2 linked regions of the Tamandua tetradactyla genome follow. The protein of the gene in region 1 interacts with the protein of each later gene in a pairwise test. Links are inferred from orthologs where the notes say so. Each region holds a gene or a part of one and is shown in the gene's direction. Other genes may lie near its edges.

Region 1 (7,405 bases):
TTTTTATTTTTCAAACGTTTTCTTTGTGGTATTTTTCTATAGTTATTCAGGCGGTTCTCTGTGTTTATGAATGACTCTGTTTTTTTTATGCTCTCTGCCTTTCCCCCCAGCGCTTTCAGGACTCTTTGGCGAGTGTGGAGGTGATGTAGGCCATGTAGCCGCTGCCTCCCAGCACCCCCCAACAGGAGGCTCCATCCCACGCCTGCTGCACAGAGGCCCTGATGTCCAGCGTCCTCAGCTGCGTGTTCCCACACGCGCTCTCCGGGGCGCGGGCTTGGCCCTCCCGGGGAGCCGCGGGCCCACCAAGGGGCAGTGCCCAGGCCGGAGGGAACGTGGTAGCCGGCGAGGCCCGCGTAGAACCCAAGCTCCCCAAGGCCTCTGGGTTGTGTGTCCACCCATGGCCAAATCCTCCAGGCCGGCTCCCCATGGGGCCTGCAGCCATGCCCCGGACCCCTCCAGACGCCCCAACGCGTGCACTGGGGCTGGGCCACTGCCAGGAGGCCACACGGCCTTATACATGGCATAGTCTCTCTGCCCTCCAGGTCTTCGAGGCGGGCAGGAGACGTCATTTCTCACTGGATGGCCAGAGGGAGACCCTCAGAGGCGCCACGCCAGAGGCAGGGGAGCTGTGGCGCCTGAGGGCCGCAGCGTCCTCATGGAGTGGAGGGGACCAGCCGCGACATCTTCCCTGATCGGCCCGCCGCGGCCACACTGGGAGCCCAAGTCCCAAGTGCGCCATCCCCTAAGCAACGGATGCCGGCTGGGGTCGGCCTGAGCCGGGGCAGAGGGGGACTCAGTGGTTGCTGACCTTGGCTACTGACCCGGAGGCCCTGAACACTGTTCTAAGGCAAGGCCTGCCCAGTCCCACCCTCAGAGCTCACGTCAGGTGGACGCGACTTCGGGGCCCGGGTGGCAGCAGCCCCTGGCCAGCAGCCAGCTTGCCCACGGGCAGCTAGCCTGCACTGAGGGCAAGGCGGGCGTGGCCCTGGAAAGCCCCCAGCCTTTGGCATCACACCCCAGGACCCCACACCAGCACCACATGAGGGGACAGCCCGGCTCTGCTGCCCATGGCCTGGGGAGAGCAGAGAAGCACCCAGGTCCCAGAAGCCTGTGGCGTCCCCGTGCCCAGCCGCTTGGGAACTGCAGGGCACAGAGAGCCTGGATGATGAGGGCCAGTGTCCCGGGGCCCGGCCCGTTCCGAAAACTTTCTGGGAGGCCTGAGGTGAGGTCAAGGGGAGAACTGTCGGGAAATTAACGTTTATTCCTGGGAAGCGGGATGCGTATCAGCTACCGGGGTGTGTGGACAACCAGGAGAAGGAGGGGGCTTTGGGCAGCCCTGGAGGGGCCCCCTTCGCGGCGACCACCAGCAGCCTGGCCTGCTCCAGGGCATTAGAGGGCCGGGTGCCACCTGCGGAGCCCTGGAGAACGGATGCTGAGGACTGTGGTGCCGCAGGAAAGGGGATGGACGCTGGAGGAGGGCAGCCCCCAGGGTAGAGGGTGGTGTTTCCTGAATGTCGGGAAGATTCAACAAGGCTGGGTCAGACAGAGGCACCTGGCCAAGGGTGACCTGGAGGTGGGGAGCAGGGGCAAGAATGGAGGGCCACCCAGGAGGGAAGCCACCCAAGGGTGCAGTGCCTGGAGGACTTTCTCCCGTGGACCCCAGGCGGTTCGGTGGGAGATGTTAAACTCCCTCCTTGAGGGCTTGTCTTCTTCTTGGGTGTTTCCCAACCTCTCTGGAACGTCTCACGCAGCTGGCCCATCTGTGTGGTGACAAGAAGCAAGGTTGATGCCTCTGGGGGGAGGTGAGCCCTGCTCCCCTCACCCACCCCTGCCCGGGTCCAGGATGTGATCAGTGGCACAGAGAGGGGTGGGCCCAGGGGCAGTGGACAGCAGTGGACATTGCTTACTAGGAGAGCTGTTCCTCTTTACATCCCGGCACCTAGACAGAAGTCAGCTCAAAGCCGTGATGCAATAGATGCTTGGTGACACTCTGTGGAATATTTTTGTCAAAGGTATATAAATGGACACAAAGCAAGTGAAAAATGCTTAAAATCACTAGTCATCAGAGAAATGCATGTTTAAAACACAATACAATACTGCTAGAACCACTACAATGACTGTAGTTAAAAAGACGGATGATGCCAGCTGCTGGCAGGCGTGGGGAGGAACTGGAACTCCTGGCCATTGCTGCTGGGAATGAAAAATGGCACAGTCACTTTGAAAAGAGTATGGTATATAGTTAAACATATTCTCACCACATTATCTTAGTTTGCCAGTTTTCTATGACAAATAACACACAGTGGGTTAGTTTAAACAACAAGCACTCATTGGCTCAGGGCTCCGAGGCTAAAAGACTTCCCAAATCAAGACATTGGCAGGGCTTGCTTTTTTCTGGAGTCTGGAGCATTACAGTTGCTGGCAAACCTTGGGCTTCCATGGCTGGCATCTCTGCCTCCCACCACATGACAATATGCTTTCCTTTCTGGCTTCTATGACTTCTGGGTTCTCTTTATAAGGCCAATAATATGGATTAAGTCCCACCCTGATTCAGCTGGCCACACCTTAACAAAAATAACATCTTCAAAAGGTCCTATTTACAATGAGTTCATGCCCCCAGCAATGAAGATTAAAATTAAGAATATGTATTTGTTGGGGGACACAATTCAACCTACTCTACCATACAACCCAGTAGTAGGAGTAGACTCCTAGATATTTATCAAAGAAAAATGGATTATATCCACAGAAAGATTTGTATGTGAATGCTCATAGTGGCATTATTCATACATAATCAAAAGTGAAAGCAATCCAAATGTCCATCAACTGGCAAAGGGATAAACAAATTGTGGTATATACATGCAGGGCATATTTATATGTTACAAAAAAGAATGACATATTGATACATGTAACAACATGGGTGAGTCTTAAAAACATTATGATAAAAGAAAGAATCAAACACAAAAGCTATGCACTGTTTTATTCCATTTATATGAAATTCTAGAAAAGGCAAAATTATAATGAAAAAAAATTCATCAGGGTTGCCTGGGGCTCAGGGTGGGGCAGGAGGAAACTTCTTAGGGTGCAGGAACTGTTTCCTACCTTGATTGTGGTGGTGGCTATCTGATTGAATATAATTACCAGAAGGTAACAAAATGTATCACTTAAAAATGGGTGGATTTTATTGTACATAAATAATACTTAATATAGAATTTAAATTAAAAAACACATCTAGATGCATCATAGTCAAACCTCTGAAACGCAATGGCAAAAAGAATATCTTGAAGGCAGCCAAAGAAAAAAAAGTAACTTCATAGACAGAATACAGTCAGAATTACAGCAGATTTCCTGTCTGAAACTATGCAAACCAGAAGCCAGTGGAGCAACAGCTTCAAAGTACTGAAAAAAAAACAAAAAATTATTTCTATCCAGAATTCTACATCCAGTGAAACTGTCCTTTAAATGGAAAGGTGCAATAAAGACTTTGCCAGACAAACGGTGAGAGCACTCATTGCCAGCAGCTGCGCTGAAAGAAAAATAAGAAGTTCCTCAGACAGGAGTGCGGTGTACCAGATGGAAGTTTGGATCTACACAAAGAATGAAGGACTTTCAAAATGGCAGAAGTGAAGGTAAATAAAAAGTTATTAAGGCATCCATTCGAAGAACTAGAAACCACCATAACGCTTCCAAGGTGCTAGAAGGATTTAGCGGTGAGCCTGCGCATGGCAGACGAGGCCCGCAGGGCCGACCACGGACCCCGCCGGAGCACAGCAGCTCGGCTCCGCAGGGTGGGCGGCCACGAGGTGTCACTGTGCACGCCGTGACACAGCCTCACCTGGCTGGGATGGGGGTCGGCTGGGCAGGTGCGCTGTCGTCCTATTTTACAGGACCATTCACGGGGTCTCAGAGCACACAAGGGCCTTGCCCAGTAAAGCCATAATCAGTAACAGGTGGAAACGGCGTTTCCCATTTCTGGTCTTTTGAGATAACACGCCCGCCCCCCACCCCTCCCCCGGAGAATCAAAGCCGAGGAGAGCCTCGGAACTTTGGGGAACCGCCAACCCAAATGTTGGCGCCTAGGTCGCCGTCACGCAGCGCTCGGGCCCCCGGTAACGCGAGGAGCGCTCGCTCTGCATCCTGGCCGAAACGGGGCGGCGGCCCGGGGCCCCAGACCCGCCTCCTTCCTGGGGGGGCGGGGCGGGGCGGGGCGGGCGGCGCGTCCGTTGCTAAGGCCGCGCTGCCCTAGCGACAGAACGCCCGGCGTCCTCCGCGCAGGCGCCGTGGCGTGCGGCGGTGCACTGTGGGATGGGACCCCGCGGCGGCCGGCCGGGGCGGCTGGGCAGCGCGGCGGGGGCCGGACCGGGCCGGCTGAGGGGCGCGGGGCGCCGCCATGAACGCGGCGGTGGTGAGGCGCACGCAGGAGGCGCTGGGGAAGGTGATTCGGCGGCCGCCGCTGACGGAGAAGCTGCTGAACAAGCCCCCCTTCCGCTACCTGCACGACATTATCACCGAGGTGGGCGCGGGAGGCTGGGGCCCGGGATCGGGGCCGGGCTGCGGGGGATCGAGGTCCGGCCGGGGCCTGGGCCGGGCACCAGCGGGCATGTGGCCTGCGGTGCGTGCGGGGGGCCGGGGCCGGGCCCGGGGTCGGGGTCGGGGTCAGGCCGGGGCTGGGGTCGGGACCGGGGTCGGGGCCGGGGCCGGGGCCGGGGCCGGGATCAGGCCGGGGCCGGGGCCGGGGCCGGGGCCGGGGCCGGGATCAGGCCGGGGTCGGGGTCGGGACCGGGGTCGGGGCCGGGGTCGGTGTCGTGGCCGGGGCCGGGGTCGCGGCGGGCGGCGCGCGGGCCTCGCGATGCTGTGCGCGGCCCTGGACCTGCAGCCCGAGGGGCGAGCGCTTGGGCTCGACCTGTTGGTCGCGGAGGCCCTGGCCCTGCCCCTGCCCTCCAGGTCTCGCCCACCCTCCTGTGCCGTCTCCAGGGAGCGCGCGGGCGCCCCAGGCCCGGCCTTTCCAGGCCACCCCTGTGTCTCGTCGGAGCGCCTGGTGTTCTGCTCGGCAGAGCCACTGCTGTGACTTTTCCCTCCAACCGGGGCGCGGCCCTGTGTGCTCCCCTCGGTTACCCCCGAGGCCTCGCGTGTGGAAGGGTCCCAGGAAATCCTGGGAGAACGGAATCCTTCCTTCTGTTTCTCTCCCTTTTTTCTTCCGCCTAGTTTCGCGGCCCACTGCAGAGAGGGCACCACATTTTGGATGCTTGGTCTGCACCTGTTGGAGGAAGTTGTAGGGGGACTTGAATGTTAGTATTTGTTGATGGTCCGCCCGGGACGATTTAAGTTGAGATTGGGTGTCTGTGTAGCTTCCCCCCACTGGATTTTGAATTCCTGGATGGCAGAGACTGTGATTTGTTTGTCTGGGTGACCTGCCCTGGGTAAGGTACATAGAAGCTGCCCCACAACATTCACTTGTAGAATGGAGTTGCCGGGGCTCCTGCAGCTCTCCAGAGTGTGTCTGCAGAGGGTGCTGCATCTCCATGGTGCACTGAGGGACTTGGGGTGTTCTGTGGGAAAGGGAATCGGTTGCCTCCAGGGCTGCGTCATCTGGCCTGATGTTCGGCCCACACTTAATTTTCCTCACTCTTTTCAACAGGCTGGTTGCTTTACCCTTCTATACATTTTTCTTTACCCGTCCTCCCTTAGCTTATAATGTGTACACCCCTGGGATGTCTCGGGGGTGAACATCCTACTTGTGCTGAAAAACTCTCAGAGCCTCCCCAAATCCCAAGCGTGGTCTTACCTGGTCTGCTCATCCCCCTGGCTGGGCCAGTACTTCCAGTGCATCCTGGACAGTGTTTGGGGAACGCACAAGCTGCAAGGAGAGCCTGCTGGGGGCTGCTATGCCCTCGTGGTCAGCACAGAGACCACCCCGTGAAGTCAGCAGGTGTCAGAGTGGTCAGGACGTGAGCCTGGCTGGCCTCCACTCTGTAGGGACTTCTCCTTTTAACTTTTATTTTCTGCATTAGTCCTGACCTCCTTCCCCCACCCCACCAAAATGTGGCCAGAGAAGGGAGGTGGAGAGAGTAGGCCTCGGACTTACCTTGCTTCTAGGGCACTTAGCCTCTTGCTGGAAAGGGGTTCAAATGGGAAAGGGAAGAGGACAGTTCAAGCAGGAAGGGACTTGGTTCCGTAGGAACGTCGTGTGCCAGAGGTTATACGTTCCGAATCAGCAGTGGCTGCCCTGCTTTTTCTTTTAAAGGTTTTTGCTAATCTAATGCCAAAATTAATTTCTCTACCTATGTGAAGATAACCATTTAGTTGTCACCTATTTGATAAAGAAGTTAGAATGATTGACATATTGGAAAGCATTTTCAGATAATAGCTGAAAAAGCCTCCTATGAAAATTCTTCACTGTTTGCATATTGGATTTAAGTCACTGTATTAATATTTTAGCTACAGCTAAACACACTCTCCCTGTTTCATAAAGCTAAGTGTTGATCCTCTGACATGACAATCTCTCATAGTTCACAATTATTGCTCCTACTTTTAACTATCAGCAAACTGAGAAAACTTCAAAAGGGACCAGATGAAAATATTCTGGAAATATTAAATGCAGAACAGTTCCACTTGCCTGTCAAGAAAAGCAATAACATTACTCTGAAGTAGTTTGGTGTGAAGTGAAAACGTATCTTTATTAATAGATGACAATGCAAAGTTAGTATTTGTAGCTTGATCGCAGAGAAGGAGCCAGACATTAGAATGGGACTGTCGTTTTTTGTTTTGTATATAAATCTTAAAGTAGTGAATGCAGTTTATAGCTGACCTGGGACGCATGCGTATGTAGGCATGCTTGTCCTCACTGCATGTGATACAGTCTGTTTTTGCTGTTCTGTACATGTAAGAGGCCATCTGTTTGGGTCCTTTTGTGCTTTAGAACCTTCCAGGACTCCTTGGGGCTAAAGTTCATGTTCCCTACCGGCTCTGAGGGCCATCCTGGTTAGGCCCCCAGCCAGTGGCCCTGGCCTCAGCCTCCTGCCGGCCAACTTCGTTGACCCTTTGGACAGGCTGGACCTGGCGGGGATTTTCTTTCATCCAGTCCAGACTTCCTAAGTGCCCCTCCTGCCTTTTCCCTTCCTGTGGAAGCCTTCGGGTCTCAGTGTAGACTTGGGGCCCCGAGGCACCTGCCTGCCCTCTCCTTGGTTCGGATTTGGCGTTGCTCCCGTGTGCTTCCCGGGAAGCAGAGCCCGCGTCTCAGGAGAGCAGGCATTTGTGATGAGTGTCCGCCTTTCCTCGCAGGGAGGCTCTAAGCTCCGTGAGGGCCGGGCTGGGATCTGGCTGGTTCCTGGCTGGCTCAGCACCCCACACAGGGACGACCCTCAGATGTTTGTCCACTGAGTGGAATGTGCCGAGTCCTGGGGCCAGTGGG
Region 2 (7,894 bases), on another chromosome or scaffold:
ATTATCAGAGTGAAACAAAGTCATATATATATCTCTTCAAAACCTTTTGGAAAACAGCTGAGTGAAAATATGTACTTGTGAAAACTGCTTTTTTTTAAAAAAAGGAACATCTTGCCAAAGGTTCAAACTGATTCCTTTGGGAATCCTTAACTGCACAAGTTTTATGTTAATTATTCTATTAAAGGTCTGGCAGCTTTATAAGAATCTTAAACTTGTACATGCAGATTCAAAATATCCTATTCCAATGGCCCAGAGTTAGGCTAGGAAAGCATTTCAGACAATGCCAACTTGCAGTAATGTCTGCCTTTTTTAAAAACCTATGGGCAGTTTATAACTTAAAGATTCATAGGAATTTGCTTAACAAATGTGAATGTGATCAGTTACTGCCTTCCAAAACCCAAACCTATGTTCTTTGGTATCTCGGCTGCAGTTTGTTAAATGGACAGGCTTCCTAAAGCCTATGAAGCTCATCTTTGCAGACAAGAACAGAAGAAGCATTTTACCACTTCCTTATGAATAACAAAGTGACCAGCAGTAGCCTTGGGTATCAAAATTTAAAAACACATACACAGACATCCTAATTTAGCTTGTGCATATCTTCAGCAACATAGGAGTTGAGTTTTAAATATCCAACATTTATACAAAGGCATAGATATACAAATATCACAAAAGATGGTGTTTATAATGCTTGAAATTAAACATTTACATAATAATTAGCAGTTCTCGAGATGCTGACATCTAATTCCTCTTTTTACCAAATGAATACAGGGGTGACATATTGGAGTAAATAAAGGATCTGGGAAGGATGTGGCCCTGAGCAATGCTTTTATTCCCATTTTCTTTCTACAGTCTAACTCATCTATCATAACGTCCCACATTCAGGCTCCCCCACCCTCACAGTTATTAATCTAACCTGAATCAGTCTATTCTTCTCCAAGAGAACACACCCTATAATAGCAGTGAATCATAGACACTCTTGCTTCTCCAGTCTTTAATGGATTTGACAAAATGCCAGGTCTGGTGGAATAAAAGCCAGGAATTACAGATGAGGGTAACTCTTTAGGCTCTTGTTTGGTGTAATATCCTGAACATTTTATTTGCCTGGTATGGAAAGGTTTTGATCACATTAAGGTATTGACCCTATCATATTTCCATGTTCTAAGTAACCATCCTACTCAGTAAGACAATCTCTCAGGCATGCTAAATCAGGGACTCTTTTATCTTGGGATTGAAAATAAAATCCTCTCTTGCTTATTTTGGCTAAAGAATATTAAATAGATTATCCACAAAGGCCACCCTTTGGTAACAAGGCACTGAGAGTCTTCAACAGTGTCTACGAGTGAAGCAATTATGCATGGAATTTCATATAAGATTTTTAGGTAATAGAGAAAATAGAAATAGATTGTCAATTATCCTCAAAGGGAAATTTATGAAATTACAGAGACTAAAACATCTCTTTATTTGGTAGGTCTGATAAAATGTAACTTGAACTCATGGCAAGAGGAACCTACAGAAGAGTTTCTGAAGGTGATTTTCAACTTATACGCAAACGTCACAAAAAATATTAAAACCAGTTAAGAATTTAGCACATTATATTGTGTGTTATAAAACTCTATGAAATCTATCTAAAAAGTTTAATTTCTCCTTCGCATTATAAATCAACTTAATCATGTGGATTTTGCACAATTCCTCACCCAAGTAGATTTAATTCTAATTTTAAAAGTGTATTTTCATTATATGTTATTTTTCACAATAAATTTTTTAAGTGTATTTTCATATCCTTGTTTAAAAAATACCTATAGATGCATGATATCAAAATATTTTTCAATGCAGAAAAGCCAATGAATTGCATGGAATTTAGGTCACCTTGAGGTTACTGTTAAGATTTGAAAAATAAAGCTACAGTCAAGAATTAAAAAATAATAAATCTTGGTGGTGCAATGGTGGCTCAGCAGGCAGAATTCTCGCCTGCCATGCCAGAGACCTGGGTTTAATTCCTGGAGCCTGCCCACGCAAAAAAAAAAAAAAAATCTACTGAACTTTTTTTTTGTTTTAATTATGAACTTTTTAATGGTGGTTAAAAGATGAGTATGTGTGTAGAAAGAGAGGGAGAGAGGGGGAGGGAGAGAGTGTGTTCATTATTCTTTTCATTATTCTCTCCTTCCCATTAAAAAAGTAGTTAAAAAAAAGTCTCATAAAGATTTTAGGTTTATGTCATCACCCCACCAACAATAATCACAGACAAGAACAGAAGAAGCATTTTACCACTTCCTTATAAATAACAAAGTGACCAGCAGTAGCCTTGGGTATCAAAATTTAAAAACACATACACAGACATTCTAATTTAGCTTGAAATTAATTACTATTATCTTTGAATTCTATTGTTCTCTATTTGGTAGGGTAAGGATAGCTCACTGGGACAGTTTTTTACTCTCTTGAAAAAGTTTCATATGAAACATATAATATCCAGTGTCAGAAACACCGAACTGCTTTATAGACCAATAGATTTCAGGGCCCTTTAGGGAAATGCATCAAACGATACAAAGAAAACTACAGGGACAGATCTCAGATCCCTTACACTAAACTGAGAGGGGAAGGTTGGTTTCCACATTGGTACGTGAAGGGAGTAAGTAAACACAAATTTATATAAGGAGAGAGCATTCAGTTTTAACAGTGCATGGAAGTCAGAGATATAGGTCAACGAATGCACATTTCCGAAATATATGTTATTCTAGGTACTTATTGTGAAGTTCTTTGAAAATCTGGCCCAAACAATCCCATTTTAATATACCAATTCACTTAAAAATAAGCAAGTCCGAACACTTGCTGGGCAAGATGTTATTTTCCTTTACGAGCCAGCAAAAACACAGCTCTAAACTTAGGTTGTAATGATAAAAGGATTTGGGAGCAGCTGACTTTAGGGAATCATAAAAACAATCCACCCTTATGCCCCAAGGTATATAGAACATGCAGAGTCTGCATTGTGCTTCCAGTGCCAGGACAAATCGTTTTGCTTTTTGCAGTGAGATTACCTGATGCCAATGGGTAAGTTAAGAGAAATTAATGTACAGATTGAGACCTGTGGTCTCGCCTGGTGAATAACTCCAGTATCACAAAGTCATGAGCTCTCTTCTTTGACTTTGTAAATTCCTTCAGGTTAACTTTTATAATTAATGAAAAATTTAGAAGTGGAATTTGTGTTATTGATTATATAGAGAGACACCAAGATTTCTGCTATTTAGGGTTTAATTTGTGAGGGAATTTTCAGAACACAGAATCTTTAAAAAATAATGTGGCCTTATTTTGGGCAGTGTGAAGGAATGAAAGAATTGAATCAAGTAGGGAATGGTGAATATACCTGCATATATAAATTGGAAACTATTGATGTGTCGATGTCTAATGTTGCTCTAATTGCCTCTCAAGAATTCTCATTTAATCCTCCAATCCCTTAGGAGTAAGATACTATTATCCCCATTTTAAAGATGAAGGAACCTATCAATACACAGAGACTGTACATTATTAGGTTTAAAAATAATGGAGTCAGTATTTGAACCTGTGCAATTTGACTCCAAGGTTTAAGTCCTTAACCACTGAATTAGATTGTCTTCAGGTTCTGTATTTGGACTCCACAGTTTAGGACTCAGTTATTTCCTTCTCAGCTCTGACTACCTCTAAGCCATTATTTTGGAAATTACACTATAAATAGCAATCTTATCTTATTTTTGACAAATTTTACATAGGATCTGTATTTCTCCCTACATAAGAGAAAGTTTAAGTAGCACCAAAGAGCTCAGATATTAGTAAAGATACAAAATTGTCATTCAATAGAAGACTCAAAGCACTGGCCCCTTAAAATTCTCAACATTCACTTAACTCAGAAATTACTCTTCTCTCTTCCCCTAAATCCAGTGCTCTACCCAATTCAGTTAACTGCATTGTTGCCTAGCAACATAGGAAAGGAAGTGGATTATCAGAGACTAAGATTTGCTGCCAGCGCTTCAGCAAAGACCTCTGTGCCTCAAACATCCGAATTCTCGATCAATACCCTCCTATTTAGTGACTGACTGCTTCTTGTACAGCTCCACAACAAATTTCCTTGCATTAAAATTTCCCTCAGATTTGACTAAAAGATTTGAAGCCAGACTAAGGTGTCTAAATTTTCAGGTAGATACAGTATTAGACAACGTGGTGGCGAGACTACCAAATTTGCAGCAGCATAGGTTAGAAACTAGTTGGAAGTTCGCTAAGGCTCTTGGATAAATGTATAACATGTCGGATTCTCACTATGTCATGTAACCCTAAAGCTGCTCTTTCGAAGTCTCTGCCTTTGGAGAGTTTACACATCGTAAATTTAACACACAGCTGGGGGGCTATGTGTCCCGTCAAGTAAGAGGAAGAGCCTTTGCTGTGGTGAGCGAGAGACCAACTGGCGGCCAGCGGAAAGGGTGGCGCAGGGGACGACCACTCGTTCAGGCGTACTTCACAAAGAAAAGAAGGAGGCGGGGAGGGAAGGCAACTGAAGATAAGAGAAAGAAAGCGAATCTGTAAGAGGAAGCATGCCCTCTTCATAATCACTTAAGCCTTGTGAACCTCAGCCCTGCCCGGAACACCGAACCGAAGCTCACAGCAACGCGCGCGTCGTGTTGCGGCTCTGGGAGGCCGGGCGGAGCAGCGCGCGCCAGCCAACCCGGCAGTCACGTGTCCTTCCAGGCTCTCGGGTGGCCCGCCCCCTCTTCGTTGCCGGGCGGAATAGGTTAGCGCGCGCCGGCCAGCCCGGCCAATCACGCGTCTGTCCCGTATCTCGCGTGGTTTCGACCCGTTTTGGTTGCCGGGCGGAACGGAGCAGAGCGGGCCGGTTAACCCGGCCAATCACGTGTCTACCCGGTTCCTGGTCAGCTGGAGGCTTTCCGCCGCGGAGGCTCGCGAGTTCTGCGGGTTCTGGGAGTGGTGGAGGGCAGTAACCTCCTGGGCAGCAAGTGGTTGTGTGAGAGTGGGACTAAGTCCGGGGTTTGCTGTGGAGTCGAGTTAAGCCCCGGTTCTGCAGTCAGGGTACCTCACAACCCACCTCAAGGCCCGGCCTCTCGAGGGCTAGCCTGGTATTTCTGCAAGGGTGGGCAGGAAGGGAAGGACACCGCCCACTCGGTTCATCTTGGTAAAGTTGATGCCTTTGTTTGAGGAAACAAATGTCAGTCGACTCATTTTCAGGGTTTAGTTACAGTAAAATGATGCAGACGTGTAAATTTCCCTCTGCTTATGTCCCATTTGCCTCAGCCCTGGGGGGTCGTTGATCCCCCTCTCAGGGGTGGTGTGGCAGGTCTGATTGATTTGGGGGTCGAGATTTCGGCCGTGTTTCCTTTCATTATGAAGCTGTCATACTAAATTGAAGAATTCCTGACTATCCAAAGTTATTTTTCCCCCATATGTCCACCAAAGAAACGTAGGGTCTTTATTGCTAGATTTATTTACATAAATAATGTTTATTTCGTAATGTTTTTAATGTTTTGTGCCTATTTAACCCATGAGTGCAACATTTAGAGAACGATTAAGGAAGACAAGATGTGACAGAAGTTGGAGATATTTTTGATAAAAACAAACAGGGAGACTTGTTTAAATGAGATACTTAGCCAATTAATCTGTCATGAAAAAACTAGTAGTCACTTTCATGTGGAAAACAGCCCTGCAAAAGAGCAGAAATGAATTGCAACTAAATGAAATTAGAGGAAATTACTGGCTTACTTGTGGGTGTTATATACAAGAATCAAAATTTCTTTGATAAGAATTGCAGATTATATAGAGTTATGGATTAATTTGATTTCCGTTTTGTGGATATTTTTCATTTTTACAGGTAAACCAGGATTTCTTCTACAAGATGGAAAGTCCATCAGACTCAGCTGTGACGTTATCTACTATGTCACAGGACTATGAGGATCAGTCTCCCCATACCAATAGTTCAAGGCAACAAGTAAGAGAATATTAATTCTTCCAGTAAATCCATTCCATATTTCTAAGTTTTGGAGGTAGCAGCTTTAAGTTTACTGAAGATTATTAGTATAATATGTTTCATTAAAAGGTAAATGTATTTTATTAACTATTAAATAATTTTAGATTTTTCTCTAACATAATGTATTTGATCTCAAAATTCTCATCCTTAATTCATTTAGTTTCTCATTGGTTTATTACAACAGAGAAAGTTTAAATCTGTGCAGTAGTTATCATTATGAAAATCTTTGGTGGCAGGACCTAGGTTTTTCCTTTAATTTGTAACTCTGAAATGCACATAGAGTAGTTAGACAATGCTAGTAGCTCAACATATGTTTGTGGTTACTGGGATAAGCTTAACACTCTTAATGGTATTATTGATCAAGCTAAAGTAAAAAGAGTAAAACTAGCGGAGCTTCTGGGAATTAAAACAGTTTTGTGGTGGTTACTGTAAGCAAATGGAGACAGGAAGCCATCTATTGGTGTCTACCAGAGAAACGTAGGGTCTTTATTGCTTGATTTATTTACATAAATAATGTTTTTTTTTCCTTAATGTTTTGTGCCTTTTTAGCCCATGAGTGCAACACTTAGAGAACGATTAAGGAAGACAAGATCTTCATTTCATTCTTCTTATAGCGTGGTAAAACGTCTTAAAGTAGAGAATGATGAAAATGATCAGAACTTTTCCAAGAAACCAGCATCTTCAACAGAAGAAAACTGTTTGGAATTTCAGGAAAGTTTTAAAGACATAGACAGTGAATTTGAAGAAAGCACATATTTGAAAAATACCTTCAAGAATATCAATACATGTGAATCTAAGTCACTTGATTTGGGGTCATGCGTTGCTCTCCAAAATGATTTTGTGAGTGAGAATCACCCTAAACAAGGATTCAAAGAAGAAAAAACAAAATTGTTGAAGCAGGTTGAGGAGAAAGAAGACCTTCTTCGAAGGCTAAAACTAGTCAAAATGTATAGATCAAAGGTGAGAAGAATTTCAGAACTATTACATAATATTTGTTTTTATTTAAGAAATTACATTAAAGTAATTTCTAAAGTAGAAAATAAATTTAGTTTAGCATAAGAAGCAATAAGCCACATATCCAGAAATCTGGATTCCAGTAACTTTAACTCAAAAATAATTAGAAGGGGCCTCTAAACACCTAATAGAACATTGGAAAGTCTCACCTAAAGCTACTCACTTGATTCTCATTTAATGTACAATTGGAGCTTTTCTCTCTAGTTTCCAGCCTTGAGCAATATTAGAAATATCAAATGGTAGATGCAAGTACAATGGGAACAGAAGGGACAGCTGACAGTGAATAAGTAAAAAAGCTGAAAGTGGGCCAGAGAATATAATAAAAATTATCTTTAGTAGTGATATTGTGTTACCCCCCCCAAATAATTAAAATGTTCCAGGCATTCTGTTTGAAAATACAACAAATATGTATTAAATTTTATATTTAAATCCAGATAGGTTGAATAAAATCGAATTTGGGCACTTGGATTATGACTTACCTGGATAATTCATATACATGCAATAGCTCATTCTCCACTAGCAATGTGGAGTAAATGATGGATTAGCATGTGCCATTTGTTCTTTTGAATTTTTAGGATTTTTCTGAACATGACTACTTGAGTTTTATAAGATTTTGAATGTTGAAAATATCTTTAATTTGAATTTTGTGTTATTTTAAAGTATAGTTGTACTAGGAAAATAGATTTTTTAACCTATATTGTTGTAAAACATAAGTTTTACCCTATTTAATGAATTTTTTTTTCCATGAGGGGAGGGATGGCTCAACGCTTGGACCAAACACAATAACCACAGAATTCAAGTTGAGTGGCTTTGTAACCATTCTTATTTTTCTCTGGGTAGAAGGCCCATTCATTTCTAGTTGTGCTAGCCTTTAAACAT

Evidence for each region.
Region 2: the proteins of TRAF3IP1 (region 1) and SFR1 interact in a two-hybrid assay, tested with the Homo sapiens proteins (2 studies listed by BioGRID and IntAct). The link is inferred for Tamandua tetradactyla from reciprocal best matches to the Homo sapiens genes TRAF3IP1 and SFR1.

What each region holds. Positions count from the first base shown.
Region 1 is NC_135329.1:214,818,494-214,825,898, reverse strand, and holds the start of TRAF3IP1 (TRAF3-interacting protein 1), read left to right. Parts: upstream 1-4,334; 5' UTR 4,335-4,384; coding exon 4,385-4,507; intron 4,508-7,405.
Region 2 is NC_135339.1:66,210,184-66,218,077, forward strand, and holds the start of SFR1 (swi5-dependent recombination DNA repair protein 1 homolog), read left to right. Parts: upstream 1-4,866; 5' UTR 4,867-5,161; coding exon 5,162-5,185; intron 5,186-5,845; coding exon 5,846-5,962; intron 5,963-6,550; coding exon 6,551-6,961; intron 6,962-7,894. UniProt on the Homo sapiens protein: Component of the SWI5-SFR1 complex, a complex required for double-strand break repair via homologous recombination. Acts as a transcriptional modulator for ESR1.